Linked DNA regions of Struthio camelus. The protein of the gene in region 2 interacts with the protein of the main gene of each other region in a biochemical or structural test. Links are inferred from orthologs where the notes say so. Each region holds a gene or a part of one and is shown on either strand. Other genes may lie near its edges. The genes, in order: CDK1, MAPT, TUBB3 and ABL1.

Region 1 (7,937 bases), on a different chromosome or scaffold from region 2:
AACTTAGTTTTTCTCTGCACTCCTTACCCGTTTATCCCTTTCCATCTTATAACAACCACCTGCTACTATGCTACGTCAGATCAAATGCCCTGCAACAGCACATTTAAATTCCAAACCTCGTTCAGCAAAGTCTGACTTGAAACCTTTCCTGAAGTAAAGGAAGTTCTTTTTCTTCCCTCAGGGTGTCATTCCAGCTGCCAAGAATGAAGGTGTACTCTTGCAGATGAGAATGCAGATGAGACAAGCCAAGTATGCAACCCTGTGGAAACGCACCGAAGATTTAGATGTACACATCACACCTGAATTTGTTCAGAAATCCTCCTCCTAATCAATTATTTAAGTAGGAATATTATATGCGTTTCCCTTACAGTAAAAATAACCTTTTCCTTAAGGTGCTATTTTCTTTTACAATCTGAAAATTCCATTTTAACCGTCACCATTTTATTTCCAGAGAGTGATGGGAGGTGGCACACAGTGATGGCTAGTGGTATGCAAGGCACTATAAAAAAGTGTGTGGCCCCACCTCAGAGCTGCAAATTGCCACTGCCAATGATAGTACCTCTCTCATCAGTAAACGTGAGCAGCCTTGCTTCATGTTTTCTTTTAGCCAATGTGGATATTGTGATCCTTTCTTCCCATTTCCTCTCCTGCCTCACAGTTCCCTGAGTGGGCTGAGGAAATGAGTCACATCCAAAATAAGAGGGAAAAAGACATTCTAGGGAAAATTGATCCTTGTTCTCAAGAAAGAGAAGTACTGCTGACAGTTTTTTTTTTTGTGAGACAGACAGAAATTAAATAAGAAGAATCCTGAGACCTCAACAGTTATCCCAGGCTGGGATGTATACTTAATCCGATGTACTAGCATGCTTGCAAGGATGTGCTGCACTCTATACCAGTGAAACCATCCCAGTCAGCAGTTGAGAATTAACTTATCCGTATCAGACATAGCTGTATCATCAGTCCAGGTAAATGCTTTTATTTTGGCTCTATGCACAAAGAACCAATGCGTGCACTTTACAGAGAGAGTGACAAGCAATTAGTTAGGCACTATCTTCAAGACACGTGAACAGCTATAGTCAGCTTATACATTTGGGTATCCACTTTCTACATTGTGCCCACAAGGCCAGCAGTAGTAGAAAATCAGTGAATTAAACTATTAGCTACAATGTTTCCAGGTAAGTTAAGGCGTGGTAAAATGGATTGTCTTTAACCTCTCCTAATTCTGGTATTGAGTTCTAACGCAAAGAGAAAAACAGATTGGTGTACCAGAACGAGGCTTTTGAAAGGGGGGGGAAAAAAAGTACAGAAGAGAGGATACAGGCATTTAACTCCAAACTAAAGTAACCTTAATACCTTATATAATACTTCTTGCAATTTTGAAAGCTGTGATACAATAAAACTTCAGCAAGGCCATTCTAGAATATTTTACTAGGCATTCACAAAACACAAACACCACCAAACAACAAACACGGCTATTTTAATCAACACAGCTCATTTGGGCGCTTTGGGCTTTATAGTCTTCAGCCTTGATTGAAAACAAAAACGAAACACCAAACCAACCCGGACTGATTCACAACACCCAACCCAGCCCCAGGCATTCTGAGTTTGCATTATGGTTTAACGTATCAGCACTGTAGTATTCATCGTGGGAAAACCAGCTGCTACCATTTAACTGCGGTAAGGAATATATTAGCACCTAGCTAGGCCATTTAATTAATTAATAATTAACTAATTTATTTATTTTTCAAGTTTAGCAAACTCGAGTTCCGTCCCCGAAAACTGCATCCTGAGGAGCAGTGAGCTGTGGATGGAAAGGGGGCGGCAGCGCAGGTGGGGCCGGGCCGCGGCCACAGGTGCCCCCAGCACCTATTTGTCTTTGGGCGGAAAACGGCGGGGTTTTGATTCCGTAATAAAGCACCGGCTCCAGGCGTGAGGAGGCCCAGGACAGGGACGGGACGGCGGCCACCCCCTGCCGCGGGAGGAGCGGGGCCCGGCCCCACCTGAGGGGGCGGCGAGGGGCAGGCCCGCCCCGCCGCGGGGTGAGCCGAGCCCGGCCCGGCCCGGCGAGGTGGGAGAAGTGCCTGGACGCGCCGCAACATGGCCTCCGCCGCCTCCTCCTCCCCCGCGGGACGGCGCGGCGGAGACCAGGTGAGCGCGCAGCCCTCGCTGCCCCCGCCCGCCCGCTGGAGCACGGCGGCCCAGGCCGGCCCGTCGGGCGGGGGGCGCGGGCGGTCCCCTCCTGCGCCGCGCCGCGCCTCTCCTCACCTCACTTCTCTCCTGCCCGCTCCCGCCTCCGCGCGCGCCGCCCGGGCTCGCGCCGCTGCGGCCGTTAACGGTCGCTGCCGGCGCGAGCGGCTCCCCCTCAGCGGCGGCGCGCGGAGCCCCTCCCCCCCCCCCAACGGCCGCCGCTCAGGTGTGAGGGAAGCGGCGGCGTTCAAACGTCCCTCACAGGAGCCGCTCGCCTCCCGCGGGGGTCGGCGGGGCGCAGACGCCTTTTGCCTCCGCTCTTAAGCGTCCGGGTGTGAGCGAGAGCGACTGCCTCTGTGTCGGTAAAACCTGACGCCCCTCCTTGGACCTTGCCTCTTCCCGCTCTTCTTTCTTTTCCTCACTTTTTTTCCCCCTCTCCCTTGGCAGCGGCCCGCGCCGTGCCGAAGCCGCCCGTCGGGCTGCGGCTGGCGCAGGTCGTGCCTCGCAGGGTCGCGTTACAGGTTGCTAAGCGTTCGCTTTTTCCTTGGGATCGCTTAAAACAACAGAGCAACGCTAATTTATGCTTTTAGGAGTAACGCGCTCCAGTGAGCTGTTAACAAGTTAGTGTGTAGTTAGTGAGTGTATTCAGTTTGCTTTTCTTGTTGGTTTTCCAACACGTAAGTCATAAAACAGTAGCCTGGCTGTTGGATGGAGATGCCCTTACCTGAAATGTTCTCAGCTGCCCTTGGGACGTTTTCCTCCTTGCTCAGCGCCTGATTGCAGAGCCAGCAGCAGGACCTGTCTCATGAATGACAGTGCAAGGCAAGCTGCTGCTGGCTTATGCCATGCCATCGTGATGCTATAATATGAATAAGGGTATGCATACCATATGAAAGGACTCCAGTAGCAAGAGGGTTAAAATACAGGCAGCTCCTGTGGTTGCTGCTGGTGGTAGCTGGCACTTGGAAAGGTGAAGTGCTGTGGGAGGCTCTGCTTCAACACACCCATAACTACATGGGAAATTACAGGAAGGCTCTTTCTCCCAAGTCCATCCATCCTCTTCAGTGATTAGACCCAGGCCCTAGGGTCTGATAAAAGCACTGTGCTACAAGGTTGTATGTAGCTTATGTAGTGAATGTGATCATTTTTGTGTGTTGCACTCCCAAAAACACTGCCTTATATTGCAATGAAGTGGGCTGGTCTGACATTCTTCCAGCTGGGCACAAATGGCATAATTGGTTTTAACTGCAAATACTAGTGTCCTTAGAGTAGAAAGAACACATTTCTGCATGTTACACAATGTCTGACCAGCTAAATAACTTTTTTCCCAGTTTTAAAATGTGGTTTTAAAATGATTGAAAAAGTGTGGTAAATGCAAATTTTGTTTCTTAAGGCTATAAGCCCAGAGCTTCTGAAACCAAAACTGAAAACTGTAAGATTTAAGCTATAGTTCAATCAAGGGTGCATAAAACTTACTCTGTTTTCTTCCCCACCACCCACTTTTTTTTTTTAAACTGTGTTTTAATTTTTTTGATTAAAGTATCTTTTGGAACCATAAAACCGTCCTGGTTTTAACAGCACTTTTGCTGCACTTAGGATCCCATCTGCTCTGTGAGGTTCTCTCTCTTGTTGTAGAATGTTAGTCTTTCATGTTTCTCCCTCTAAATCTTTTGGGAGTTCATGCTTTAAAATTAACCATAAAATAACAGCCCTAAGAGGAGCAGTGGGCTAGACTAAAGCATTCCTCTTGAAGTCCTCTAAGGTTAAGTTCCAGGTTGGCAGGCTGTTCCTCCCCTTGCTTGTGACTTCCGTGTTTTGAGCCCTGTACTTCATCAATGAGAGCTCCTAGAATGAGAAGACAGAACTTCCTGTGTTGTCAGTACACAAGACATTTTTGCTTCACTTCTTTTATCTGCCTTGTGGATATACAGGTTAAATGAGACTTGTCAGATTTTTCCAAAGTAGGCAACTTCCAAACTTATTATTCTGAAAGGTTCATGATCTAGGCTACATTTAAAGGATTGAAGCAGTGAGGTTTTTAAAGAAGATGATAGTTCTCTGTCTCTAAGCTGGACATGTTGCATCTTGGCCTTGGAGTAGTCTTAGAACAGTTCAGGAGTCTCAGCTTTGCCCTCAGGGTCTAGTTCTGCAGCCTTACATCCTTCCACACTGTCAAGGCCAGCAGAACTTTCCACTGGATTGAAAATAATTTTAGGTCAGGTTCTTAAATGTTAATCTCTTCCCCCCCCCCCCCCCCCCCCCCCGCAATGGGTATTAAAGGTGTATAGATCTTGAATTTTTTAATGGGCAGCATTAGAAGTGGGGATGTGTTTTGAAATAGCATTGGTATTTTTAGTGAGTTGCTAGGAGAATAGTCTCTGCTATCATAAATCTCACTCTGCCTAAATACCTTCCACGAGAACTTGCTAGTGTGCATCTCCTGATTTTTGTTGCAGAATGATACTGTGCTGTTGCATGCCGTTGTTCTATTGATACTTGCCCGATAATTTTTTTCCTTTTTTAATGGAAAAAATATCACCTTGCTTGTCTTTTCTAAATCCTAATTTATTGCTAATTATATGCTTTTATTAAGGTAGTGAGTTATATCTTAGTGCTATAATTTACAATTCACATACATGTTTACTTGTAGATAAGTATTTTTCTTTTTTCCAAACTCTATTTCCAGTTTTGCTCCAAGATAACCTCTAAACTCTACAGAGTGAGTCAGAAATACTGTAACAGCATGAGAAAGAAAATAGCTTGCAATTAAAAATATTCTTGTATTACTGTACTGCTTAGCTGTTAATAATTAGGATGACTGCTACTTATTTCACTTTAATATATTCTAAAATTTTACTCAGAAGTATATATTTTTTAAAAAGGAACAGGAAGGGTAGAATATACTTTTTTAGTTCTAATTCTTTTATTATAGTTCTGAGTGTCAACATTACAAATACTGTTAAAATTCAACATCTAACAGGAAGTTTATTATGCCTGTAGGTCACTGACAGTGCTGTTCTGTCCTGTAATGTTTATATTTGGGGAGTTTACAGTACTGAGTAAGTTTGTGGATTGTCTAAAGCTTGGAGGAGCTCTTAAATTTTGCAAGTTAAAGTTTTTTTTAAAATACTGTTTGCAATTTAATTTTAAAACCAATGCCTTTTTGGAAAAGAGAGGAGATGGTTATCTTATTCTTGTGTAGGGCAGGAAAAACCCCAGCTCTGTTCAAATATGAAAGCTGAATAATTCTCACATAAGTTCTCAATCTTAAGAGTGAAATATTTTATTATTTTAAAGCTTCCAAATCTGTGCGACCACAGTTACAACCATGTTGTTGCTGTGGGGAAAAAAAACCCTAAATTTGTTTAATCATTGGAATCTTTGAGGGCAATTTTCTTTTTGCAGCTAAAAAGAAATCTTTGCAGTCTGCAGGCCAGACTGAGTTTCAATTCCAGATAAATGCTTGGCATAGGTAGTTTTCTGTCACTGTTGTCCCTTCTGGTTCTCTTCTACGTCTTTATCAGTTTAATCCTGCTTTTCCTTCTACCTGAAAGTTTTTTGGGATTCTCTTCTACCGTTCTCTGGTTTCCGGGATAAATTTTGAGATACATGTGTGCCAGGCTCTTCAGAGAGTGTGAAAACTGTTAATTTAATCTATTGTTTGAATACTCATCAAAGGTGGTTTTTGCCAGTGTGTTGTCTAAAATGTGAGTATTGCTCCTGTACATTAGATCTCATGCTAAGCTGTTGACAATGGCACTTACAGTTATTTGGCATGGATCTGTGGATGACAAAATGAGAGCTGGCATGTTGCTTTAGTTCTGAGAAAAGCTTGGTTTTGCAATCTTTAATCGGGCAAAATTCCTTCATCTCTTTAAGGGAGCTTGACAAGGACTTGGCCCAAGGAAGACTTTGAAACAGCTCATGGCGTTTAGCTAATTCTTTGCTCCTATGGAAAAGGCTTAGAACCTTGGGCATGAGGGTAGTAGCAAATATTTCTGTTTTATGCTTGAATTCTAAGATGTGTAACATATGATGCTGAAATGTCTGAGAAGAAAAATGAGAATGTTGAGGTTTGACTTTTCCAAAATAAATATTTCAAGGTAGTTTTAAACCTTCTCTTTTTTTCCTTAATGTGATGAAACTAGTTTAGATTAATTTTTCAGGGAAGAAAGAATGGAAGGCAAATATAGGGAATGAAACAAAAGTCACATTGCTCTCTTTCTTGGGCAGATAATTCCTATTTTCAGTGGTGTTGGAGGGTGGGGAAATAATGAAGAAAAGACTCCTTACCCTTTTCTCACCTCTTCAGTGGAGAAATGAGATCAGAAATGCTTGAACTTCACTAGTCCTTTGATAACTTGTATGTACTCCCTGGTGTTGGTGCTAATAGCTTTTACTCTGAACAGTTAAATTACATAAACATCCACATAAAGTACATGGAAAATGATAGTTGCTTGCACTGTATGTTTTTGTTATCATTGGAAGGAAGTATGACTGTATGTAAAGAAGTATTATATGTGAGGAGAAAAGTGGGTAAAGAAGATGGGGGCAACAAAGAAAACTGCTTTATTAAAACATTAATAACTATTGTGGTGAAGTTCTTAAGAGGCTTTCACTGTTTATGTCAGTCTTTGCCACCTTGTTTTTCACATAGTTATTGCATACTGTTAAAATCTTGCCAAGTCTTATTAGCATCTTGAACAAATCCATCCAGTTTCCTTTCGGGGAAGGTGGCGCCCTACAAAAATGAATTTAGCATTAGCTAATTAGTAACATTGTAATTTGTTTTATTTAATCCACTTACAACTTCAGTTCCTGCTGATCTGTGGCAGAGAAAAAGGTACCATCTTTTCTTTAGTCTCTCTTTATAATGAAGTAGTTCCTAACAAATTCAGGAAGCTATTCTCTAGGGACATACTTAGGGTGGTGCTCTGAAAAGGAGATATTACTCAAAGTTTCCATGTACTGTCTGATACTTGCCTCATGATTTTATCAGTATGTGATACTGATTCTATCTGGTTGTAACTTAAAAATGTTATAGGCTAAAGAAAGAACTTCTGTGTAGCTGTAGTCCGGAGGGTTCATTAGCTGGAACTTTCCTGTCTGCCTTATTGTGTCAGTGCTACAGCAAAAACTGGCTAAGCTTTTGCACTGATCTTCTGCATGTTATTTTAAACAGGTTGTGCTGACAGCTTCTTTCTGTAGGAATCACTAAAGTAATATCCTTCAACGACAGAGTAGTTGATCACATGCGTCTGTCTTATAAGAGCTTGATTCTTACTGAGACTTTTCAGAGACTTAATTTTAGGTTTTAAAGCCTCTGTGATAAAACATCTATTTTAGATGGTATTTTTTAAAGCAGTCCTAGTAAAGGTCATTTTCAGAGGGACTTAAACCTGTTTTATGCAGGTTAGTTTTATGATCCCTGCATGATGCTATTACTATATTAAGGTTTTTTCCTTGTTTTAAAGGAATATGGTTTCTCTGACTTCCATGACAATGAGCACTAGAAGTATGAAAAAGTAGAAATCTGGAAAGGTTATAAATGATTTGAGTAAAATCCTGGCCTAACAATCAACAGAAGTTGTTCTACTTTTCTTTGCGGGGTCAGAATTTCTGCCTCTTGCTTTAGTAAAGTTCACCGATTATGCAGTCAGTGAGAAATTATGTAGCCTTAGGAAACTCTTTCGGCAGCTTTCGCTGTTTTCCTTCTGAATTTGAAAGTTATGGAAGTCTTCTGAAGTTGT
Region 2 (7,324 bases):
GAGCTGGGTCCTGCTGAAATTGCAGTTTATTAAGCACAGAGGGAGGAGGACTGTTTAGGCAAAGGGCCTTGGAAAGGAAGAGGCTGGAAGCAGAGGGCAGCAAGGCTATCTGAGACCACAGGAGGAACTGACACAGAAGATTAAATTAGAAGCATGATCTGAAAATACTTAAAGCAGCATTTTAAAAAGAGTAAATGAGGCTTTTAAAAAGCCCATGTTTTTGCTGTGTATATGTGCAGAGCCAGATCTGCATTCCTGGGCTACAGCCCCAACAAGCAGCACTCATCACCTGCATCTTCACCTGCAGGACTGGTACCTGTCTCCTCTTTGTGACACTTTTGGCCTCATCCCAGCTAATCTAGCCTTGATGAAGTAGAAACATCCTTATCTGTGATGCCATCTGCCCCACAAGGTGGAGATTTATCTGCTGAGAACTGCAGGTCTGTTTCCTTCTGGAATAGCTAAAAGTGCTCTCCACCCAGGAGAGCAAAATATCATCTCAATGCACCTGGAGAGCATGTCAGCTGGGACCTTTGCAACAAGTTCACCTGAAAGCCTGCAGACCACCAACAAGCTGTTCCAGAGCCGGGCTGAACAAACAGCCCAGAGAGGGGCACAGAGTCTTCATTAAAGGCTTCAAACAATGACAAGCACACTTCACACTTTGTCATTAAATCAGATATACCTGTTTTAGTCCAAGTTTCTCAGGGTTCAGCTTCTCGCCATTAGATCTTGCAATAAACTGAGCTCATTGATATTTCATTTTAAGCTCTGCCTGTTCAGGACTTAACCGTTCTACAATCCTGTTATATTGCAAAAAAGCCTTATGGAAGAAGATGGAGTCTCAAACGACCAAGGCCATGGTACCTCTGAAAGAGAAGTCATGTTGTCCTTGAGCACAAGAGCTGGGTCTCAAACAAAAAAAAAAAAACACAAACACACAAAATAAAAAAAAAACTAAACTACATCCCACCTGCATCTTAATTCCAAAGGCTTAAAGCCTTAATTTCCAAGGACGTTCAGCAGCATGAGGTACTTCTGTTAACAACTGGGGACTGCACAGGGAAGCATGCCAAAGCCATACCTCCTTCCAAATATCATTACTCTATCAAGACCAAGGAGGAGGAAATCCAGGGGAATAATTCACACCTGATACAAAATACTGAAAAGCCTCAACCTTACTTTTCTCCTTACATGTGCAGTCAGGAGGAAGGAAAAAAAAAAAAAAAGCATTTCACACATCACAATGGAACAAAGCATAACTGGGTTAGATTATTTCCCATTCTTAGAAGAAATGGCACTTTAACATTCCCTCTCTCAAGAGCAGCCTGTAAATATCCAACTGAGAATTGACAAGCCTGTTTTCATTGTCCACCTTGAGAAAAAACACACACACAAAATGAGCTGCATACGGTAAACCACTAGATTAAACATCCCAAATCTGAGACACTGGCAACAAAGGTAGAAAACCTTCACAGAGGGCAGCCATTGCTTGGCAGAACAAATCAGTGTTTCTCAGTAGTGAATTTTGTCCCATTCATTCAGACACGCTTTAGACATCTGCCTAGATCCACACAGATAAATGCAGGGCAACTAAGAAATACGTTGCATGCAAATTGCTGAAGTGACAGCTTAGCTCATCTCAGCTGCTCCTTCCAGCGAGCCAGTTTCCAAGCAAGACCAGCCTCGCGCTGCAAATGGAGCTGCACCTCGCGTGGTGCTACTGCAAGCAAATGGAAGGAGAAACTCCCTCTAGAGCGATGGCAGCTGCCCTCTCCCAACCACCAGCAGGACTGCTTTTCGAGGTGTTAATAACCATCTTCCCAGCTGAATCCTCCCTTACACTAGCACAGCAGACAAAACGCAGGCAGAGATCTCCATCCCTCACCTGAAGTAAGCCCTTATCGCTCTTAACGGGCTTAATTGCTCAAAGCCAGGAGGGCAGGTGTGCCACGCATCGCGCCTGGAAATACCTGCCGAGAAAACTTCCCTTTCCCCCCTGTGAAGTTAAGACTTAAAACAAAGAGATGCCCAGCAGTTAAAGGGGAAAAAAATACCCCTCTCACAAGGCAAACCCCGGGAAGGGGGCCAGCCTCGCGCCCCGGCCGGAGCGGTTTTGGGCACGGAGGGCACGCGCAGCAGGGGGGAGCGCTCCTGCCCCAAACCCGCCGGGGTGGGCACCAGCATCCCCAGCCCGGCTGAAAAAAAAGCCCACCTTTGAGTAGCGTTAAAACCCACCTTAGGCGAGCGTATCGTTAACGTTTTCCCCTCTGCATCTGGGGCGATGCAACAAAGCAAGGCAACTCCGGGGCACCGTGACCTCAATAGCGCGTGGCACCCCCAATTTTTAGGCTAAACAGGGGCAGCTCTGATTTCTGACACACCTTCTCCTCACGGTTTTGGTTTTTTTTTTTTAATTACTATTATTTTAATTACAGCTGGTCCCTGCCTCCCAGGAGGGCGGCTACAGAAGATGGCACCGCGCAGCCCACCCCTCCTGCCGCAGCCCCGCCGGCACAGCCCCCCAGCCCCACCTGCCGCAGGGAACGGGGGGCAAAAAACGCCAAAAAGGAGGGAAAGGGGGAAATCATAATTCAAAAAAAGCCCCCCCCCTCCCCCGGCCGCCCCCCACGCCGCCGCGCACCTGCAGCCGGGCGGCAGCGCTGCCGCAGGGGCCGCCCCTCGCACTGCTGCAGCGGGCAGGCTGCAAGGGGGCGGCCCCCTCGGATAACCGGGCCCGGTAACGGGAGGGAGAGGGGACACGCCCCTCCGCGATTTTTTAATTTTTTTTTTGGGGGGGCCCTCAAACGGGTTCCCCACCCCCGCCCGTTTTCTGCGTTTTAGCACGGGGACAGCGAAACGCGCGGCTGCCCGAGCGGAGAGCGGCGGCCAGCCGCGCAGCACCTTTCCTCCCCCCAAATATACCCTCCCCGGCCCCGAAGGCTCCCTCCGCCGGTCGGGGGCCCGGTGCCGCCTACCTGCCGCTGCAGGAGAGTCCGCACCGGAGCCGCGCGGCGAGTGACAGCGGCGGCGCGGGCGGGGCGGGGCGGCGCGAGCCGGGGGCGGGGCGGGGGGCGCGCGCGAGCTCCGGAACCTTCGCCGAGCCGGGGGGGGGGGTGGTGGGGGGTGGAGAGGGAGGCAGGGCGCATGCGCCGAGTGGCGCTCACCCCCCCCCACACACACACACAGAGAGCCCCTCCGCCAGCGCTCAGGCCGGCGCATGCGCGGTGAGAGGTTGGAAGGGGGAGGGAGGGGCCAGCGCCGTCTTTTGTCTGCGGGAAGCGGGGGCGCGCCTCGCCCCGCCCACAGGGGGCGCCCGCGCGCTCTCCTCCCCCCCCCCAACCGCCATTTTACGCCGGTGGCCGCCTCAGCCCCTTCCCGCGCTGCCGCCTCCCCCGGACACCACCTCGGGGCAGGGCGGGGGGGACCCACACCTGTGGGAAGGGGCCGACAGGTGACACGTTACCCCACCTCCTGCCCCCAGGTGATGCAAGGAGCTTCGGGGCTGCCCCACCATCCAATGCAGCCCCACCTGAAGGGGCAACTCATGCTCCCCGCTGCTCCCAGAAGATCCCCCTCCACCTGCGAGGGCAGCCAGGCGCTCCAGAGGCTTATGGACACAGCAGAGATCCCACCATGGCCTTCCTGCCTTGCGTTACACGGTTACTATGCTTGGTAATTGGATTTAGTGGAGAAACTGCAGGAGGGATCCCTTGTCAGACAGGCTCAAGGTTTCGTTTTTTCCCCCGGGCATCATTCAGGTGCAAATCAAGGGCAAGCGTCTGATCTAAGGACAGGCTTCTGACACAGGTCAGGAAGGGAAAAGCAGCACAAGAGAGAGAAAGAGAAACAGATGTGGAGCCTGCAGCACCAGAGGTTTAAAGCATACTAGACAACTACTGGTTGGGAATGGTCCATCTCGTTTTGGAACAAAGGTCTCAAGGTGTCTCATAGCCCTATGGAGAGCCAGAGCCCTTATGTGTTACAGCAGCGTTAATACCTGCACGAGTACTGTCAAATGATGAACAGTGAGCGAGGTGGAGATCTGGATTTCTGAACATGCGGCCATGAGGTGGTTTTATCAGGTCAGTAGAAAGGGGCGAGACATAAAAACCTTTTTTTCCCCTGTCCATTTTTAACTGGCTTAAGAATGCCATGAATTGACATTATGCTGTAAATTGGTTGGAGAATTTCCCCAAGGTAAATACATGTTCTGTGAGAAATATCACCGCTTTGGGAACTGTAAAATGAAGTAAGCTATGAGGGGATCCATCCTTGTGAGACAACATAAAACAAGCTGAATTTGAACTTACAGTGCAAGCAGCTAGAGTCCAATTGTGGAACAGCAGCTCTTCCTACAGGCGGTACAGATGTACCAGGAACACAAGACTGACTGCACTGGCAATCAGCTGCTCAGCTGCTCCTCCTCTAATATGACCATTTCTTCTTTTGAGGAGGGCAAAAACCAGAAGACACTCCCTGCCTTAACGTCCCAACACAAGTTATTCTGGATAATCAAATCTGGACTTCTTGAAGCCCTCTCAATCAAAGCTCACATTCGCCTGCCTGACTTTGCTTGGGTCACCAAGCACCGAGTCCCTTTTGGATCCAAGAAGTCACAGACTGGCAAGTATCATTAGCCAGTCCCAACCAATGTACAGGCACATCACTCTCACCACATTATGGCCATGTAGAAGATCTGCCAGCAAAGGCTAGCCAAGAGTAAGATGCATCAGCTGGTGGCTTACAGTACTGCCAGCCTGGAGGAACACAACAGCAACGACTCCCCCATAGTTCAGTCCTCCAGGACTGCTGTTGTACAGCCAAGCACCTTCCTGCCCTTAAGCCTAGTGGTACAGCACTTGGAAATAAAAAGATGCTAAGAGCACCATAAGCAGGACTGGCTACAGAAGGGCACCATGAGCACAGACTTGCTGTTTAACACTGTGTTCAGAGAAGCAGGACCCCATGGATATTCTTGGTAAACAAGATTACTGCAAAGAAATAATCAAATCTACACCCATATTTTCCTCCTTACTAACACCCTGCAGGGCCTCAGCGTTGGCTGAATGTCCATGTCACAAAGAGGTAGCAATTGGGAGAAGAATCCCTTGTTCGGGTGTCCTGACTCCCCACATCACACATGCTAGCTCGCTGCAAATCCACCTCTTTGATGTGAAACCCCACCGCGCAGCAAGGTCTGCATTTTGTACTACGTCTCAGGTCGGTGCCCAGCAAACCTCCATCTCCACTCCTTGCACCACAGAGGCGCACCCCGTTCTGCATGGCATGGGCGCAGGTTGCTGCTGCAGCAATACTGAGATGTTACGGGAACTGCTGGAGCAGCGCGAGTCCTGAAGCGCTGCTCAGCGCTCTGAGCCCCAAGTGGAATGAGCTCACAGTAATTGCCAGGGCTTCTCACCCAGCCAACAGGAACTGCAGAGAAACACTGTAGCCATTTCTTACCTGTACGCACAGCAGGCTGACAGCTAAAGTAGACATTAATTACTGCATGGAGCTGTTCTGGCTACTTCTTGTTTATAGGGTATTTTTGCAAGGAAAGAGAAGTTTCTCCTGCAACTTTAAACTTGCTCCAGGCTCCTTCTTTCTTCCCTTTAGGCTTGGACTACTGCTAGCTGGAAACAAGCTACTATGTTTTCCTTTAAAATGTGATGCTTAGCAACTTTGCATTAGACTTGTAGCTTCCATAGCTGTTTCTTCATCCACAAAACAGGGCTCATCTTCCTTGCAGGTGAGTTTTGCAACTTGTTTCAGAACTGCCTCAAGGTTTCCTATGACAGGTGCTACGAAAGCCAAGACATGATTTCTCAGGCCTTGCCTGGAGTGGGAATTGACCTGCAGAACTGCAGCTGTGTGACAATTGCTGGGTTATAAGGGTTTTAAGACTAACATCCCCAAGGCCTTGTTTGTCTTCAAACTGCTTCATTTCAGTCACTTAATTCAGATTAAGGGTGGCCTTTGCAAAACCATAATGAGCCTAGCTGAAATAAATACTCAAATTCTGCACTAGCTTAACTCCATTACAATACCCACGCCTTTTGCAACTTGGCCATTAAAGTTCACCTAAGCAAAGAAAATGGGTTAATCGCTTTCCAAATGGTTTGTAGCAAGGAGACAGGATTGATGTTTCTGAAACAATTCCAGATGCTATCGCCTGCTCATAAACCACAAGATGATCCCTTCCTAAACAAGGAAGCCCCAGGCAGACACAGGCCCCAGACTTGCTTCCCAGGACACAGCCACTAACGCGCACATGGCACCAGACCAGGGGGCCAGCAAGGTTTCAGGAGGGCTCGCTGGGCTTTGAAGCCTCACCATGGAGATCTCAGCAGGGAACTGGGCATTACACAAGCAGCTTTCCCAGCCGTGCCTGTATGCTGTTAGCAACTGCAGGAAAGCGGGCATTACCCAGGCCGGCTCTGAGCAGAGCCAAACAAAGCTGTCGCCTTCTGCAAACCTTTCCCAGCAGCTCCAGGCACGAGGGGGGATTAGAGCACAGCTGGCTCCGTTCCCCACACATATTTGCTACATACATATTTTGCAGTTCTCTCCAAGCAAAATCAGCTTACATTTCATTTTCACAGACAGGCAAAATGGAGCACGATACCCCTCTGTAAACCCCGCTGAGGCCAGTGGGGCTGCAAAGACAGAAATCAGAGAAACACCCGCGGCATTGCAATGGTGCAGGCAGCAAGCAGGCCGTGACTCAGCAGAAAGAGCCAGCCGGCAAGGTCCTCTCCTCTAGGAACAGCACTGAGCACCAGGAAAGCAAATTTATCACTTTCCTTCCGATCACTTTTGCAAGTGGAGAGACTTGACAAATTGAGGTTAACCTCTTGGGGACCAGAGACCAGGTAATACCCTTACACTCACCTCTGTGTTTCCCTGCACCCCAGCTGAAAAAAGATTATACCTTTTTCTTCTCAGCTGACTAATGTGGAAGGCATGCAGAGCCCAACACCTACCAACAGAAGACAAGACCCAATACCCCTAAGTTTTTTTTTTTTGGTAAGTTAACCCCTTTTCATTTTGAAACTTTCTGCTACAAGGGACATTCCAGATCATGTAAAGCTTGTGTACCCGTAATGGGCTGAGTTGTCTGGTAACTGGTTAAGGAGTTACCGAAAGCATTGACTTGTTACGTGCATGAATTTATCCTGTGAACTGAAGCCATGAACTTGAAGCTTACACTCACTTGGACTTGGTATCACAGGAGGGCAGTGAGCGTTTGGGGAGAACTCTAGATCTTGTTTCTCCTTATCCAGGCTACAGCTCCTCTCCTTCTGCTTAGCAGCACAGCCCT
Region 3 (7,720 bases), on a different chromosome or scaffold from region 2:
GAGCGCCTCGTTGTCGATGCAGTAGGTCTCATCCGTGTTCTCCACCAGCTGGTGGATGGAGAGCGTGGCGTTGTAGGGCTCCACCACCGTGTCCGAGACCTTGGGCGAGGGTACCACGCTGAAAGTGTTCATGATGCGGTCAGGGTACTCCTCGCGCACCTTGCTGATGAGCAGGGTGCCCATGCCCGAGCCGGTGCCACCACCCAGCGAGTGGGTCAGCTGGAAGCCCTGCAGGCAGTCGCAGTTCTCGCACTCCTTCCGCACCACGTCCAGGACGGAGTCCACCAGCTCGGCCCCCTCTGTGTAGTGCCCCTTCGCCCAGTTGTTCCCGGCCCCGCTCTGGCCTGCGGGAGAAGACGAGCCGTGCTGGCTGCGCTCCAGCCCCCCCGTCTCTGCGGAGCGCCCGGGGCCGCGTGGGCGCCCACGGCAGGTTGCATGCAGCCCCAACCCAACCGGGGATCCGACAGGGAGATCTGAGGCTGGTGAGAGGCGCCTGGAGCTGGGCGCGGAGGGGTGGGGTGGGGTGGGAAGTAGAAGCCGCAAAGGCTTGGCAGGGAGCTGCCGGCATGCCGGGGCCGCGGGGGAGACGCAGCCAGAGACGGCTCCGGGCACCCCAGCGTCGCCACAGGATGGGGTGTGGGAGCCATCTGGGGTCCGGCCGGTGCTAGCGCGGGGGACGTACCGAAAATGAAGTTGTCGGGTCGGAAGAGGTGTCCGAAGGCGCCCGAGCGCACGCTGTCCATCGTCCCCGGCTCCAGGTCCACCAGGATGGCGCGAGGCACATACTTGTGAGCTGCGGAGAGACGCCGAGTGACCCGCCGCCCCCTCCCTGCGCCCCCGAGCCCACCGCACCGTGGGGACCCCCACCCGGGGACCCCCCGCCGCCCTCCCTGCCCAGCCCGCCGCCGCCGGGGGCTTACAGGAGGCCTCATTGTAGTAGACGCTGATGCGCTCCAGCTGCAGGTCCGAGTCGCCCACGTAGTTGCCGCTGGGGTCTATGCCGTGCTCATCGCTGATCACCTCCCAGAACTGGGGGGGCACGGGGGGGGGGTCAGAGGGGGCAGCGCTCGGGGGCAGTGTCCCCCAGCAATGGGGCACAGCCCCAGCTCGGGGTGCCTGGTGCCAGCATGGCAGGGGGTCTCTGCACCGTTGGGGGGGGGGGGACAGGACAGGACCCAGGGGTGATCCTACCCTTTGCGGGGGGGGGAGGGGGCCTCTGCACCATGGGGGGGGGCAGGACAGGACCCAAGGGTGCCACAGAGGCAGGAGAGCACCCTGGGGGCCTGGCACGGGGGGGGGCAGGCTCTGCATCGTGGTGGGGGGGAGACCCAGTACTGGGAGTGCCACACCCCAGGGGACCAGGGGAGGTGGGGGGGGGTCACATCAGGAGAACCAGGAGGTCCGGGGGGGTGGCAGTGTCACCCTGAGCACCGGGGGGGTCACATCAGGAGAACAGGGAGGCCTGGGGGGGTGATGGTGTCACCCTGAGGACTGAGAGGGGTGTGTGGGGGGGGAGTCACGACGGGAAAACCAGGAGGTCTGGCAGGGGTGGCAGTGTCACCCCGGGGGGGGGGCCACACCAGGAGAACAGGGAGGTCCGGGGGGGGCTAGCAGTGTTACCTCGGGGGACTGGGGGAGGTGGGGGATCACACCAGGAAAATCAGGAGGTCCAGGGGGGGTGGCAGTGTCACCCCCAGGGGACCAGGGGGATGGGGGGGGTCATGCCAGGAGAACAGGGAGATCCAGGGGGGTGGCAGTGTCACCCCAGGGGGGGGAACAGGGAGGTCCAGGGTGGGGGGGGTTGGTGGTGTCACCCCCGGGGGGGGGTCACCCCGGGAGGTCTGGGGTGGAGGGGGGTGGCAGTGGTACCCGGGGGGGGGGGGGTCACCCCAGGAGAACGGGGAGGTCCGGGGTGGGGGGGGTGGCAGTGTCACTCGGGAGGGGTCACCCCGGGAGGTCTGGGGTGGAGGGGGGTGGCAGTGGTACCCCCGGGGGGGGGGTCACCCCGGGAGAACCGGGGAGGTTCGGGGTGGAGGGGGGTGGCAGTGGTACCCCCGGGGGGGGGGTCACCCCAGGAGAACCGGGGAGGTCCGGGGTGGGGGTGGCAGTGGCACCCCCGGGGGGGGTCACCCCGGGAGGTCTGGGGTGGGGTGGCAGTGGCACCCCCGGGGGGGGTCACCCCGGGAGGTCTGGGGTGGGGGAGGTGGCAGTGTCACCCCCGGGGGGGGGTCACCCCGGGAGGTCTGGGGTGGGGGAGGTGGCAGTGTCACCCCCGGGGGGGGGTCACCCCGGGAGGTCTGGGGTGGGGGAGGTGGCAGTGTCACCCCCGGGGGGGGGTCACCCCGGGAGAACCGGGGAGGTCCGGGCTGGGTGGGGGGGGGGTGGCGGTGTCACCCCGAGCACCGGGGACAGCGCCCCCGGCCCCTCCCCGCCGCCTCGGGGCGGGTGGGCGCTGGCCGCGGTGCTGAAGCGCCGCTCGCGGCGGCCCCGGCGGCACCGGCACCGCCCCGGCCACACCGCCGCCGCCGCCGCCTTCGTGCTCGCCGGCCGGGCCGGGACCGGGGGCGCCGCCCGGTGCCCGGTACCCGGTGGCGGCGGCGGGGCTGCGGCAGGCGGCGGCCCCCGCCCTCCCCTCCCCCGCGCCGCGGCGGACAAAGGAGCGGGGCGGGGCCCTTTGTTCTGCCCGGTGCGGCGGGGCGGGGAGGGGGGAGGGGGGGAGCCTTTGTCCGCCGCTGCCCTCCGCAGAGCCGGGGCGGGGCCGGCGCAGCGCCCGGTGCCGGTGCCCGGTGGCGGTGCCCGGTGGCGGGCGTTACCTTGGCCCCGATCTGGTTGCCGCACTGGCCCGCCTGGATGTGGACGATCTCCCTCATGGTCGGGCCGGGACGGGCGGGCGGGCGCGGAGCGGTACCGGCAGCGCGGGGGGCGGCACCGCCGCCGCCGCCGCCTTTATAGGCGCCGCGCGCCGCACCGGGCCGGCCGCTGACGTCACCCCCGCGCCGCAGCCAATCGGCGGCCGCCGCCGCCGCAGCGCGCTGCAGCATCCCTGCAGCACCGCGCCCGCCCCGCCCCGCCCCGGACCGGACCGGCACACGGACCGGACCGGCACACGGACCGGACCGGCACGGCACACGGCACGGACCGGACCGAACCGGACCGGCACGGCTCGACACGGCAAGGACCGGACCGAACCGGACCGAATCGGTCCGGACCGGCCGGCACGGATCGGCCAGCAATGGATGGGCCCGGATGACCCGGCACGGATCGGCTCGGCACGGCCGGGAACGGATCGGCCCGGCCCGGCCCGGCTGGGATTGTCCCGGCCCGGCCCGGCCCAGCCCGGCGGCGGCAGGGGGGACCCGGCGCTCGTGGACACCCCCCACCCCCACCCGCACCCACGGGGGGGGTGTCACCCGCAGACACTCGTTGTGGGGGAGGGGCAGACCCCAGCCCAGCTCCCTGCGGTGTGGGGGAGGGGAGGGGGCCCCGGCCCGGACACCCGTGGGGCTGGGGGACACCCACGGCAGGGACAGAGCCCACCTGCACGCCCGGAGTGGGGGGAGCGGGGACATCCCGGCGTGGAGGGGGGGGGAGAGAAAGGGAGACCCAGACACCACCCACATACTGGGGGGGGGCTGGGACCCCCCTGCAGACGTGGGGAGGGGCCGGGACCCCACGGGGGGGGATCCCGCCCCACACCACGGGGGGAGATGGGGGGCATCCCCCCCCCGGACACCCAGGGCTCCCAACACAGCCGCAGCCCTGCAGGACCCCCCAGCCGGGGCAGCGGGGGGACGCGGGGAGCCACGGCGGCGGTGCCGCAACAAAGGCTGGCGGCGGCGAGGGGCCTCCCTTTGTGCGGCGGCGGCCGAGGACGCCTGGGCCCGGCGAGGAGCCCGGGGGGCTGCAGCCCCCCAGCGCCCGCTGCGGGGGGGGGTGCTGAGCGCCGTGGCCTCACCCCGCTGCCCCATGCAGAGCAGCCCCACGGCTGCTGCCGGTGCCCGGGCGCACGGGGATGCGGCAGCCGAGCAGCGACACGCGGCGGCCGCCCCACGGATCCGTCATCGGGGCTGGGGAGACGCCGGCTCCGCCGTCGGCACGCACGCCTGCCCCCAGCGGCTCCCAGTCCATCCCAGTCCCCAGAGCAGGCAGGTGCTGGACCTGCTGCCCCCCCCTCCCCGCCCCACAAAGCCGGGGGGCCGCAGGGCCGGGCGAGGGGCGGCAGCGGGGCTGCGCACGGCGCGGTGCCAGCCACAGCATCAATGCAAAGAGCCTTTATTCAGCTGGGTGGTACCGCGCGGCCGGGCGGCGCGGGGCCCCCGCGGCACTGGGCGCAGCCTGGGCCGGGCCGGGGGGGGCCGGGCCCCGCAGCCCGTCCCCGCCGGGCCGTGCCGTTACCTGCGCGCAGCCCGCGTCCCGCTCGCTACCAGGAGCACAGCACCACCTCCCGCAGCGTCCGCCGGAGCTCCCGGCTCCGGAAGGCGTAGATGAGGGGGTCCACCACAGAGTTGCAAATGATGAGGATGAGGAAGAGGTTGAAGTAGCTGAAGAAGCACGTGCAGAAGGGGTTGGTGGGGCAGGTGACGATGAGGATGAGGTGGAAGAAGAAGGGCCCCCAGCAGATGAAGAAGACACCCAGCAGGATGGTGAGGGTCACAGCACCCTTGAGGCTGCTGGTGCGGTAGACAGTGGGTTTCTTCTGCTGGCTGGAGATGCTGCGGAGGTGGTGGCGGGCCAGGGTGAACATGTGGATGTAGAGCACCAGCATGAGCACCAGCATGAAGAGGAAGAAGCCGATGAGGCAGAGGAGGATGGCGTTGCTGCGGTAGTAGGTGATGAAGATGGTGCTGGAGACAGTGCTGGCCAGCCAGACGCTGGCTATGGTGACCACGGCCCGCTGCAGCGTCATGATGCTGTGGTAGCGCAGGGCGTAGAAGATGGTGATGTAGCGGTCCACAGCGATGACCCCCAGGAAGGAGAGGGAGGACACGACGGAGCTGCAGATGAGCATGTCGATGACATTGTCCATGTGGCGGACGATGGTGGCGCGGATCACCAGCACGCCGTGCTCCATGAGCAGCATGAAGAGCGTCTCCACCAGGTTGCTGACGCTCACCAGCATGTCGGAGACGGCCAGGCAGCAGATGAAGTAGTACATGGGCGAGTGCAGGTTCCTGTTCTTGAGGATGGCGGCGACCACCAGCACGTTCTCCACCAGGCTCACCAGGCCCAGCGTGAGGAAGAGCTCATTGGGGATGTCGAGCCCCTGGCAGCCGGCACCGCCGGCCCCGGCCGTGGCGTTGCTCTGGTTGCCCTCGCTGGCGTTCCAGGGCTCGCGGAGCAGGCGCAGCGGGGCCAGCGTCGACATCGCGCCCGCCACCGGCCCGCGCGCGCCCTCGACCCCGGCGCGAGGCACAGGCCCCGCGGGCGCCTCTCCTGCGACGGCTTTGGGCAGAGGGAAGCGACACTCGCGCCTCCTGCCGCCCCGGGGTCCCGATGGGCACGCGGTGCCAGAGGTGGCCCGCTCGCCTGGTGGCCGCTCCGCACCCCTGGTTTCTGCAGCCGCTCACGTCCCCAGGCTTCCCCGGCTCCCCTTGCAGCCACGCTCCTCCCTGGTCCACAGTGGTGGATTAGCGGGAGTTATGGGGAAGAAAGGACCCTTTCTCTGCCCTATTTTAAAGCCGGCTCCCTCAGCCCCTCCTCCGTGGAGGGTGGGCACGCACATGACAGCTCTGCACCCCAGCAGTGAGGGCAGCCGCGCGGAGCCTGTGGCTGCCGGACCCACAGTGCTGTCCTGTGCGCCCTGCGATCCTGGGGGGCCGGGGGGCTTCCTGTGCACCCTGGGGTCCCCTAGGCACCCTGAGGGGATCCCATGCATCCTGGGATCCCCATGCATCCTGGGGTCTCCTGTGCACCCTGGGGTCCCCTATGCACCCTGAGGTTGCCTGTACACCCTGGGGTCTCCCATGCACCCTGAGGTCTCCCGTGCACCCTGGGGTCCCCTATGCACCTTGAGGGTCCCCTATGCACCCTGGGGTCTCCTGTGCACCCTGGAGTCTCCCGTGCACCCTGGGGTCTCCTATGCACCTTGAGCAGATCCCATGCACCCTGGGGTCTCCCGTGCACCCTGGGGTCCCCATGCACCCCTGTGCCCTGGGGGACTGGTGTGCCCTGGGGAGTCCGTGCACCCCGGGGAGCCCAGGGGGCCGTGCGGCCTCCCGCTGCAGGAGCAGAGCGGCTCCTCCCAGTCCGGTGCAAAGGGCAGAGCTTGCCCACGGCTCTGGGTTTGCTCGGAGCCACATCCCACCGCAGAGCCAGCTGCGGTCGGTCTGGCCCCTGCAGACCGCCACGACGTCCCTGGGGCTGCGGAGCACCGCCTCAGCCCTGCTGGGGTGCTCGCAGGCCCCAGGGCTCCAGCAAGGGCACCAGTGGCCACAGCAGCACGCGGGGAAGGCGGGTGGCGCGCCGCGGGGCAGGTGACAGGGTCTAATAGGGATCTTCAAAGGCTCCATTTTCTCTGGGAGAAGAAACCGGCTGCTGGTCCCACCACCCCAGTGCTGCTGGAGCATCCCCACCACGGCCGGCCCGGCTCCGCACGCAGCCGACACGGGGCACCAGAAGCTGCTCCGGGCAGGGGGACGAGATGCACCACGGTGCCTCGCAAACGCCAAGCCCAGCCAGTGAACGGACTAAACAGAGTCCCGGGCCCTGGCCGGCTCCCCGGTCGCTGCCTGCAGAGCCGCCCGGCGCCGCTCGGAGCAGCCGGCCCCGGAGCCGCGCAGGGGCCTCGGCTCCCCCCGCCAGCGCCGCGGCGGGCTGGGGAGGCGCGGGGCCCATCTGACCGTCATGTGCCTTCTGCTCCGTGTTGATGCCTAGAGCTGCGCAGCTGCCAAAGAGCCGGTCACATCAGCATGAGAAGGCCGGTCCCGCTGCCATTCCCACCGGCCGCTTCCGGCTGCTTCCCTCAGGCTGCCGAGGGCCCCTGCTCGGGGCGGCCCCGCCGCTGATGAAAGCACCTCTGTGCAGGCCGGGCGACCGCACGGGGAAGGGCCCGTCCTCACCCCGAGCGGCTCCTAAGTCAGCGCGGCAGGGATGGATCAGGAATTGTGTCTAGTGCTCTGGGGACAAGAGCTGCCCGTTGAGCCCGGGCCGGTGCGCGCTCACCCTGCCGCCGGGCTGCTGGAGGCGGCAGCCGCTGCCCGGCTAGAGCCACCTTCGCACCCGCGGCCGCAGGGGCAAGGCCAGCTCCGAGACCTGCTCCCCCTCCACGGCAATGCTGAGGAGAGGGAAGCCCGCAAGCATGAGCCCAGGCAGCTGAGCCCGGCTCTCCGAGGCGCCCCAGGTGCTGAGGGGAGTCCAGCTGTGCTCAGCACCAGCCCCCTGCGAAGATGGTGTCCCCAACACCTCCCACCAGTAGGTCTCCTTAGGGAGCAAACAGCCCAGGCTGGCAGGGAAACCTGCACACGAGGAGGCCAGACCAACAGGCACTGTCTTCCCTTCTTGGCTGCTGCCCAGCTAACCAGTGCACCGATTCGTGCAATGAATTTCAGCTTTATCAACAGAGCTTTTGAGTGCAAAGCCATAAAATGCCCAGTCTGCAACTTCAGAGAGCACGAACTGAGCCAAGAGCAGCAGCACAGGACCAGGGAGCAGAAAGGGCGCTCCTCCCCACGGGACAGAGCCCCGTTCGCTCTCCTGCCTGGGACGTGCCAGGAGGCAGGAC
Region 4 (7,260 bases), on a different chromosome or scaffold from region 2:
GATTATATATATTTCAAAGACAAGAAAATTACCAATAAAAATCTGATGGAAATGAAGAACTAAGATGAGCTTTGTTTCCTCTGTATTGTTCTAGATATTTTTAAGCGCCTATATTTCAATAACAAGGTAACATTTTCCAGGCAAGTTGGGGGCCAAAACTCAAAATAGAGCTGAACAACAAAAACGGTGGTACAGCCTTCTACTGCCTGTACTATACGAAGAACCATTTCGTATAGTCAACGGAATAAGTTTTCCTCATGTGGATAAGCGAGGCTGATCTTTTGCAGTTCTCTTAACAGATGTATCAGCCTTGATGTCCCCTTTCAAGTTTATTCTTTTCAAAATCAAGACACTGAGGTCTCTTGTGGACATATGGTATATGGACATTACAGATGCTATTTTTCTTTGCAAATGTGCTAGGATGTTCTGACCTCAGGTCATACTGGCAAGAAGTTACCATCTGCCTATTCCTGCTAGATGATCAAAAAGGACCATTTCTGGCTCTGCTGCCACATCAAAACACTGAAGGTAGTTAGAATATTGTGTTGCTTGCAGTTAAGTGCACTGCGTCTCATCTGACCTTGAAACTCTGTCCTAAGTAGTAAAGCAGCAACCAAACTGGGGGTGGAGGAGTGGGTATATTTCAGTACTGAAAGCATGCCCTGGAAAATTTCTGCAGCAGGATTTTTATCAGAGTGCCAAGTTAGCCCTTATATTCTCCATCTTTCCATTAATTACCTCCAATTTCCAAATAACCTCAGTGCACAAACACTGCACAGGAAATGAGAAGAAATAACATTAATGTAACTTGAAACAATATGTAACTTGAAACTCAGCAGTACGTACACAGCATCTCTGTCTGTATCTTTGCTAACTATTGCACAGAATTTCTTGGTGACTCAGAAACTCAGGATGAGAAAGTTTCAAAACAAAGCCTATCTAAAATAAAACTAAATAAATATTTTTCCACTTAGCAGTTAGATTGTGTCCTCAGACGCTGCAAATTTTTCAATTTTTAATTGGATAAAGATTATAGATGCAGCTTGGTTTTGTGCTCAAACTTTCTTAGGAGGAGAGAACTGTTGAACAAGCTTTGTCAAAATCATATTCGCTCGCCTAAGATAGCGGCCAGCGGCATGTCTGCTCCAAGAACATCAGAACTGAAAACGCATTATGCAAAAACAAGGATTACTCCAGAAGTTTCAGCAAAACAACACTTTACTGTGTCTGACCTTTGAAAACGGCTACCATAAGCTTGAAAACTACTCAGTCATTTATTTTAAAAAAAAAAAAAAAAAGAAAGAAGGAAAAAAATAATCTGAAATAGATGCTAAACCCACCTCTGAGTCCTACTGAGTTTTTCATTTAGTTTCTTTCCTGACTTTCTCAGTCCCCTTTTACTTTGTGGAAGACCAGCAAGCGAAGAGGTTGCTAAACCCCTAACATATTCACTCTTGCACTTAATCTCATCACAGCACAAGATCAAGGCCTAGCTGGCTTGAGGAGAAACCACTAACCAAAAACGCTGTAAATGCACTAAGCAAATTAACAAGAAACTGTTTGATTCCCATCAGGTGTCACAATTGCAACTTCCACAAACTCTCCAAAGGAAGGTATTTTATTTTCAGGTAGCTGAGACCCTTTAAAGACAATTAGAAAACCTGTCAATGGCAACAGCATCACCAGCACCTGTGGTTGGTCTGTACAAAAAACAAAACAAAACAAAACAAAAAAAAACCCCACTTTCCCAGATTTTAAATAAGAACATATCTAAGGCAGAAATGAGAAACCTGTATGATGTTAAAAACAAGTTATTTCCTTGTATTTACTACTCAGCTGTATAACAACCTCTCCTTAAGTTTCAAGCAATCTGACACAAGTTAAGCATTTTCTTACTACACGATTAGGCAGGATTTGCATCAAGAAGCAAGAAAGAAAACAGAAGACTTCCATACGGTACAGCCTCTTTATATCTGTAGGAAGCAATTTAATAAACAATATTGCATCTAACTGGGCAGGCCAGACATAAGCCAAGAGAAACTCCTTACCGTGTTCCACAAAGACGTTACAGTGCGGGCCCCCATGCCTAGATGATTCCTTCTTCCCTGCTCCTTTGATGAAGTGCAGGGCAGGCAGACTTGGCCTCCTTTGGTCCCCAAGGACTTTTCCAGGCTGCTGCCCCATAAAGCAACTATGGGCAGCCTTCCCCAGGACGAGAAGTTTTTGAAGAAGTCTGTGATCCCTGATCTTCCAGGTTGGGACGGAGCTCGGAAGGGAAACGTATTTTAGGTGGGTATGCTGGTTGCGCTCACCGTGTAATAAAGTCACTTGAGGCGAAGAATTAAGACAAGCTCGCGGACTCTTGCAACGCGTCTGGAGGCAGCAACAAGGCTCTTTAGGTGGCTTTATGCAAAACAACAAGTTAAAAGTTCCAATTGCTTAGTAACTACAACAAGCGTCAAAGTCTTACGTTACCATATGCAATGCGTCTTCCGCCGGGCAAAGGAGAATTAGTTCATCTTACAAACAAGAAATCGCATCTAGGCTCACCCAGGGCAGGAAACGGTCATTCCCACTGCAACCAGGGTCAAGGTTTCTTTTTTTTTTTCCTCCTTTTCTTTTGCATAGCATTGAGCGAGCAAAGGCCCCCAAAAGCCACGTCTCTGGCTTCAAGTACCGTTGAAGTCCAGCAGGCTCCAGGACATCCAAATCATGTCAGGCTTCGACACAAAAGCGCAGGCCGGCTCAGTCCTCAGGGATCCGCGCGCGCGCTCTCTCCGCACGGGCCCCGCGGAGCTTTCGCCCTCCGCCGTCGCCCGCTCTTCCCGCCGCTACCTCTCCCGCGCGCCGGCGGGCGTCGAGCGGCCGAGCGGGCACCGCGGCGCCATGGCGGACTCCGAAGCGACGCCTCGAGCGCGCCAAGGCCCAAGCGGGGCGGGGGGCGGGCAAGGCCGCCCCGGTGCGGCGGCCTCGGCCCTCAGGGCTCAGCGGGAGCCGGGTGCCGGTGGCCGGGAAGAGGCATGAGCCCAGGGATGCTCTCCGGGAGGAAGGTTTCTGCACAGCAGCCAGCAGAGGTCAAGCGGGGGTGACTGCGCTGGCTTCATCCCAGCGGGGGAGGCCGGCGGCGGGGAAGGCCGCGGCGGCGAGCGCCAGCGGGCCGAGCCCGGCCCCGCCGCGGCTGGACGCGCAGGAGGGGCCGGCCGGGAGCAGCGGGTCGGGCCGCCGCCGCCGCCCGACCCCGACCCGCCTCGGGGGGGCCGGGCCGGGCGTTGACAGGACGGGGGACAAAGGGCTGCGGCCAGGTGGGGGGGCCCCAGCGAAGGAGGCTGCCGCCGGGGGCACCGAGCGACGCGGGCGGGCAGAGGCGGCCGCAGGCGGCGAGGGAGATCCCGGAACCCCCGGCGCGCCGCGGCCCCGTCCCCGGCCGGCGGGCGGGCGGGCGGTCACATCCCCTTCCGGCCCCTCCTCCTCCTCCGCCTCCGCCTCCCGCCCGGCCCGGCGCGGCCGCTGCCCGGTCCCGGCCTCGGCCCCGTCAGGGCACCGCGCCCGCCGCCGCCGCCGCCGTGATGGCAACCTGCCGAGCCCCGGCGGGGGGGGGGGGTGAAATAGGGGTCCGGGGGGGAGCCCCGAGGGAAATGGGGGGTCCGGGGGAGGGGGGGAGCCCCGAGGGAAATGGGGGTCCGGGGGAGGGGGTGGGGGGAAGCTCCGAGGGAAATGGGGGGTCCGTGGGGGGAGCCCTGAGGGAAGTGGGGGGTCCGGGGGAGGGGGGGAGTCCCGAGGGAAATGGGGATCCGGGGGAGGGGGGGGGAAGCTCCGAGGGAAATGGGGGGTGTGGGGGGGGAGCCCCGAGGGAAATGGGGGTCCGGGGGAGGGGGGGGAAGCTCCGAGGGAAATGGGGGGTGTGTGGGGGGAGCCCCGAGGGAAGTGGGGGGGTCCAGGGGAGGGGGGGAGCCCCGAGGCGGGAAGCCGTGAGGGAAGCGGGGACATGGAGGTGTCTCGGGGGCAGCGCCATGAAGGAAATGGGGGACCCAGGTGGGGTCTGGGCAGGGGGAGCTGAGGGGAACGGGGGGAGCCGTGAGAGAAACGGAGGGGAGGATAGGGGAAACTGGGAGGGAGGGCAGCCCCGAGGGGAGGATGAGGGTGAAGGGGAGGGAGGGGCTGGGAGGTGAAGGAGGAGGGAAACGGGGGCACCCACATGGGACCCGGGTGGGGCGATGAGGGAGACAAGGGGCAGGCACGAAGCGGGCTCAGGGCTGGTGAGAAGAGAGGGGAGGGAAGTGCTGGGCAGGAGCCATGAAAGGCTCTTTGAAGCAGAGGATGACGGAAATGGGGACAATGTGGGGAAGGATGAGGGAAATGGGGGGGGGGAGGAGGAACCATGAGGGAGATCCTTAGTGAGGGGGGAGATGGAGGAGAGGCAGGAGCAGTAGGAGCAGCAGTGACAGGAGAGCAATGGGAGTGACAGAAAAGGATTGCAGGGGTGAGAGCAATGAAGGGTGTTGAGAAACGGGGGGAAGATGACTTGGGAATGGGGGGTATCACGGTAGCGATGGTGAGCTGGAGCGACCACAAGGAAGGTCAGGATGGAGGAGACAGACGAGAGCTGGGACGAGGCAGAGGTAGGGGGAGGTGAGGAGCGGAGGTGGCCAGGCAGCAGGGCCTGCACGCGGCACTGCAGCACGTTTGCTCGGTGCCTCTGGGACCCAGTCCCCAAATAACGTGCTGCACTAAACACAGTTGTGCACTGGCTCATTAGCGCTGTACTGCGAGGTCCAGAGGGGACGTGAATTAGCCTGCTCTTTGCCTCACCCAGCTTCTAGGAAACTTTGCAAGGATATGTGCTTTCCATCTGTTTTTAGGCGCAGGGCCATACACACATACTTGGACTTTTTCTGCTGCCTTAGGTATGAGAATGGGCTGATTTCTTCTTTTTAAGAGACAAAACATTGTTGAAGAGCTGTCAGGAAAACGTTCACATACAGAATTACAAAGAGCTTGCAGACTGAGATCTAAAACCCTGCATCAATTGCATCGGTCACAATCACCTTTTTTAATCCATCCAAAGGCAATAATACAATAATATCAAGAACACAAGAAAAAAAACGACAACAACAAGCCACCTAGCTACGCCAGGAAAAAGGCAACAGACACCCTTAGACCATGAGAGCTTCTCTTTGTGGGCTTAATTCACTCCATGCATAATTCCCCTCTAGGTAGGCATCTGCTAATCTAACTTCACAAGCAAACTCTTTAAACTGAGGCATAAAGTTAAGAGTATTCCCTTAACTCATATCAACTTCCTTTTCCTTTTGCAAGGGCCACCTGAGTTGTTTCCTCCTGGATCTGATAATGAGAGCTGGTTGGTTCTCAAGCCCCAAAGACCCCTTCAAGTGCATTGCTCTCAAGTCCCCTGGCCTGTTCTGGACCCTAGACTTCTTACAGAGAGGGACAGGGATGAAGAGAACCTTACAGGGGCAGCTGTAATATTAGCTTTTCCAGAACCAGGGATAAGTCATCCTGCTGGCACTAGGGTCCTCATCTCTTTATTAATGCTGTCAGAGCACATGCAAAACTTGACACTGAAAACAGCCCTAGAGGCCAAGAAATGTGCCAAAAAATGTATGTTATTGGATTTATCTACATGTGTGCACTGTTCTATACCAAGATGAAGTTAAACCTCAAAATTCTTCAGCCTGCACCATGGTGCCCTTAGATGTGCAGTATGCGCGTTCTCTGAGGAGTACATACCGTGAAGCCGAAGGTATTTTGTTTCTCTATCCAGTTTGCGATGGGAATGGAAAAGGGCTGAGGCAGCAGCATGAGGCTGGAGTATTTTGGTCAAAGGTCTGTGCTTGCTCCCAGCCGGCAGTGGGAGAACACACAAAAGCAGTTTCTCCGGTAACTTCCTTCTCAGAGTTACCATCTGGACAAAGCACCGGCTTGTTTATGCTGACTCCTCCCTTATGACAAATTCAAACATGTTCCATTTCTCCTATAGCATGTTTGAGGTCCCTAGCAGACATGGATTGTTCATCTTCCAATTACAGCACTTAAAAGGTAGCACTTCATTCAGGCCTAAGGGATCCTCCACTTCTGCTGCACCATTCTTCTCCTATGTCACTAATTCTTAGCCAGGACACTGATCCCAAACCATTTATATTGCGTTCTCCCATCAGTAACTCAGGTTCCAGGAACTGAGGCTGTTTGCGTTACAAACATGCAAGAGAGAAATTCTGGTACGTTACGCTGAGACAAACCCAGAGTCTCAAACTCAAACTCAGCCGAATTTCTCCAGTTTATCTCAGTAATGGAGAGCAGCTCCTCACTGCTATGATCTAACTTCCACTCCAAAACAGACTCCGGGTGTTCCCATTGGGTGAAGGAAACTCAGGAAATGAGACTGACTGGTAACAAATCTCTCTCAAATTGCTCAGCCTGAGTTGACAGACTAGTTAATACAAACCATCCTTTACTGAAAAAGTTATTCCCTTCTGGGTCTTACTGGAGCATCCATAATCTCTCATATCAGCTAGCAGGACTGAAGCAGAGTGAGCTCCTGACGACTACCAGAGGTCCACGATACTCAGAAGGCTTTGACCAAAATACGCTCACTGGCATACACGAAGGTAATTGAAAATAGGCAGGCTTTCTGTTCCGGACAATATACACTGTATGTACTTCTCCCTGCCCCACACGAGATACTACACAGATGAATATACTTATTTTTATTTACCAGAACAGGTGAATTTATTACTGCTATAACTCACCACAGATCCAACAGATCTGAAAGTTGCAAATCCCATAACCAGAAGTTCAACTACAAGCAATCTCAGACTGTCTCACTTAAAAGCTCACTTCTATACGACCAGCCCTTTTAACTCAAGCTGTTAGCCAGTATTTGAGGTCCTTTTTGTTGCTACCAAGAGAGGGAAAAAAAGGCTGGAGGAGTCGGGTATTCCTTTGATGCTCTGCAATCAGAAAGAAGCCAAGTGGGGCAGGTTCTTTGCCAGCAGTCCCCAGCCTCTTTCCACTCAGCAGTTGCTCCCAAAGCATTTCCCGTTTCCCAAAACAGTGGTGTAGTTAAGCTGGGGCTACACATGTGCAGACGGGCCCGCCAGCTGGGCACTCCCAACAGCACAGCATATCTGCCTTCCTTCCTTCCAGAAGGGTCATACATTTTCTGTCCTCTATCCTGCTGCCAGTTTTTTCGTGAACTGGATTATCTCTATTCACTGGTTTACAACCTTGAAGTTACCCAGT

The links.
Region 1: of the proteins of MAPT (region 2) and CDK1, one has a biochemical effect on the other in vitro, tested with the Homo sapiens proteins (2 studies listed by BioGRID). The link is inferred for Struthio camelus from reciprocal best matches to the Homo sapiens genes MAPT and CDK1.
Region 3: the proteins of MAPT (region 2) and TUBB3 form a complex in vitro, tested with the Homo sapiens proteins (3 studies listed by BioGRID, with this or other methods). The link is inferred for Struthio camelus from reciprocal best matches to the Homo sapiens genes MAPT and TUBB3.
Region 4: of the proteins of MAPT (region 2) and ABL1, one has a biochemical effect on the other in vitro, tested with the Homo sapiens proteins (2 studies listed by BioGRID). The link is inferred for Struthio camelus from reciprocal best matches to the Homo sapiens genes MAPT and ABL1.

Annotation. Positions count from the first base shown.
Region 1 is NC_090948.1:36,163,749-36,171,685, reverse strand, and holds the start of CDK1 (cyclin-dependent kinase 1), read right to left. Parts: upstream 3,205-7,937; 5' UTR 2,912-3,204; intron 2,374-2,911; exon of another isoform or gene 2,266-2,373; intron 2,149-2,265; coding exon of another isoform or gene 2,098-2,148; exon of another isoform or gene 2,019-2,097; intron 260-2,018; 5' UTR 117-259; intron 1-116. UniProt on the Homo sapiens protein: Plays a key role in the control of the eukaryotic cell cycle by modulating the centrosome cycle as well as mitotic onset; promotes G2-M transition via association with multiple interphase cyclins.
Region 2 is NC_090966.1:4,566,700-4,574,023, forward strand, and holds the start of MAPT (microtubule-associated protein tau), read right to left. Parts: upstream 3,061-7,324; 5' UTR 2,979-3,060; intron 1-2,978. UniProt on the Homo sapiens protein: Promotes microtubule assembly and stability, and might be involved in the establishment and maintenance of neuronal polarity.
Region 3 is NC_090951.1:1,775,367-1,783,086, forward strand, and holds the start of TUBB3 (tubulin beta-3 chain), read right to left. Parts: upstream 3,069-7,720; 5' UTR 3,042-3,068; coding exon 2,814-3,041; intron 1,030-2,813; coding exon 921-1,029; intron 794-920; coding exon 683-793; intron 345-682; coding exon 1-344. Other genes in the region: MC1R (melanocyte-stimulating hormone receptor), read right to left, coding at 4,421-5,365. UniProt on the Homo sapiens protein: Tubulin is the major constituent of microtubules, protein filaments consisting of alpha- and beta-tubulin heterodimers. Microtubules grow by the addition of GTP-tubulin dimers to the microtubule end, where a stabilizing cap forms.
Region 4 is NC_090961.1:6,300,211-6,307,470, forward strand, and holds the start of ABL1 (tyrosine-protein kinase ABL1), read right to left. Parts: upstream 3,187-7,260; 5' UTR 2,185-3,186; coding exon 2,049-2,184; intron 1-2,048. UniProt on the Homo sapiens protein: Non-receptor tyrosine-protein kinase that plays a role in many key processes linked to cell growth and survival such as cytoskeleton remodeling in response to extracellular stimuli, cell motility and adhesion, receptor endocytosis, autophagy, DNA damage response and apoptosis.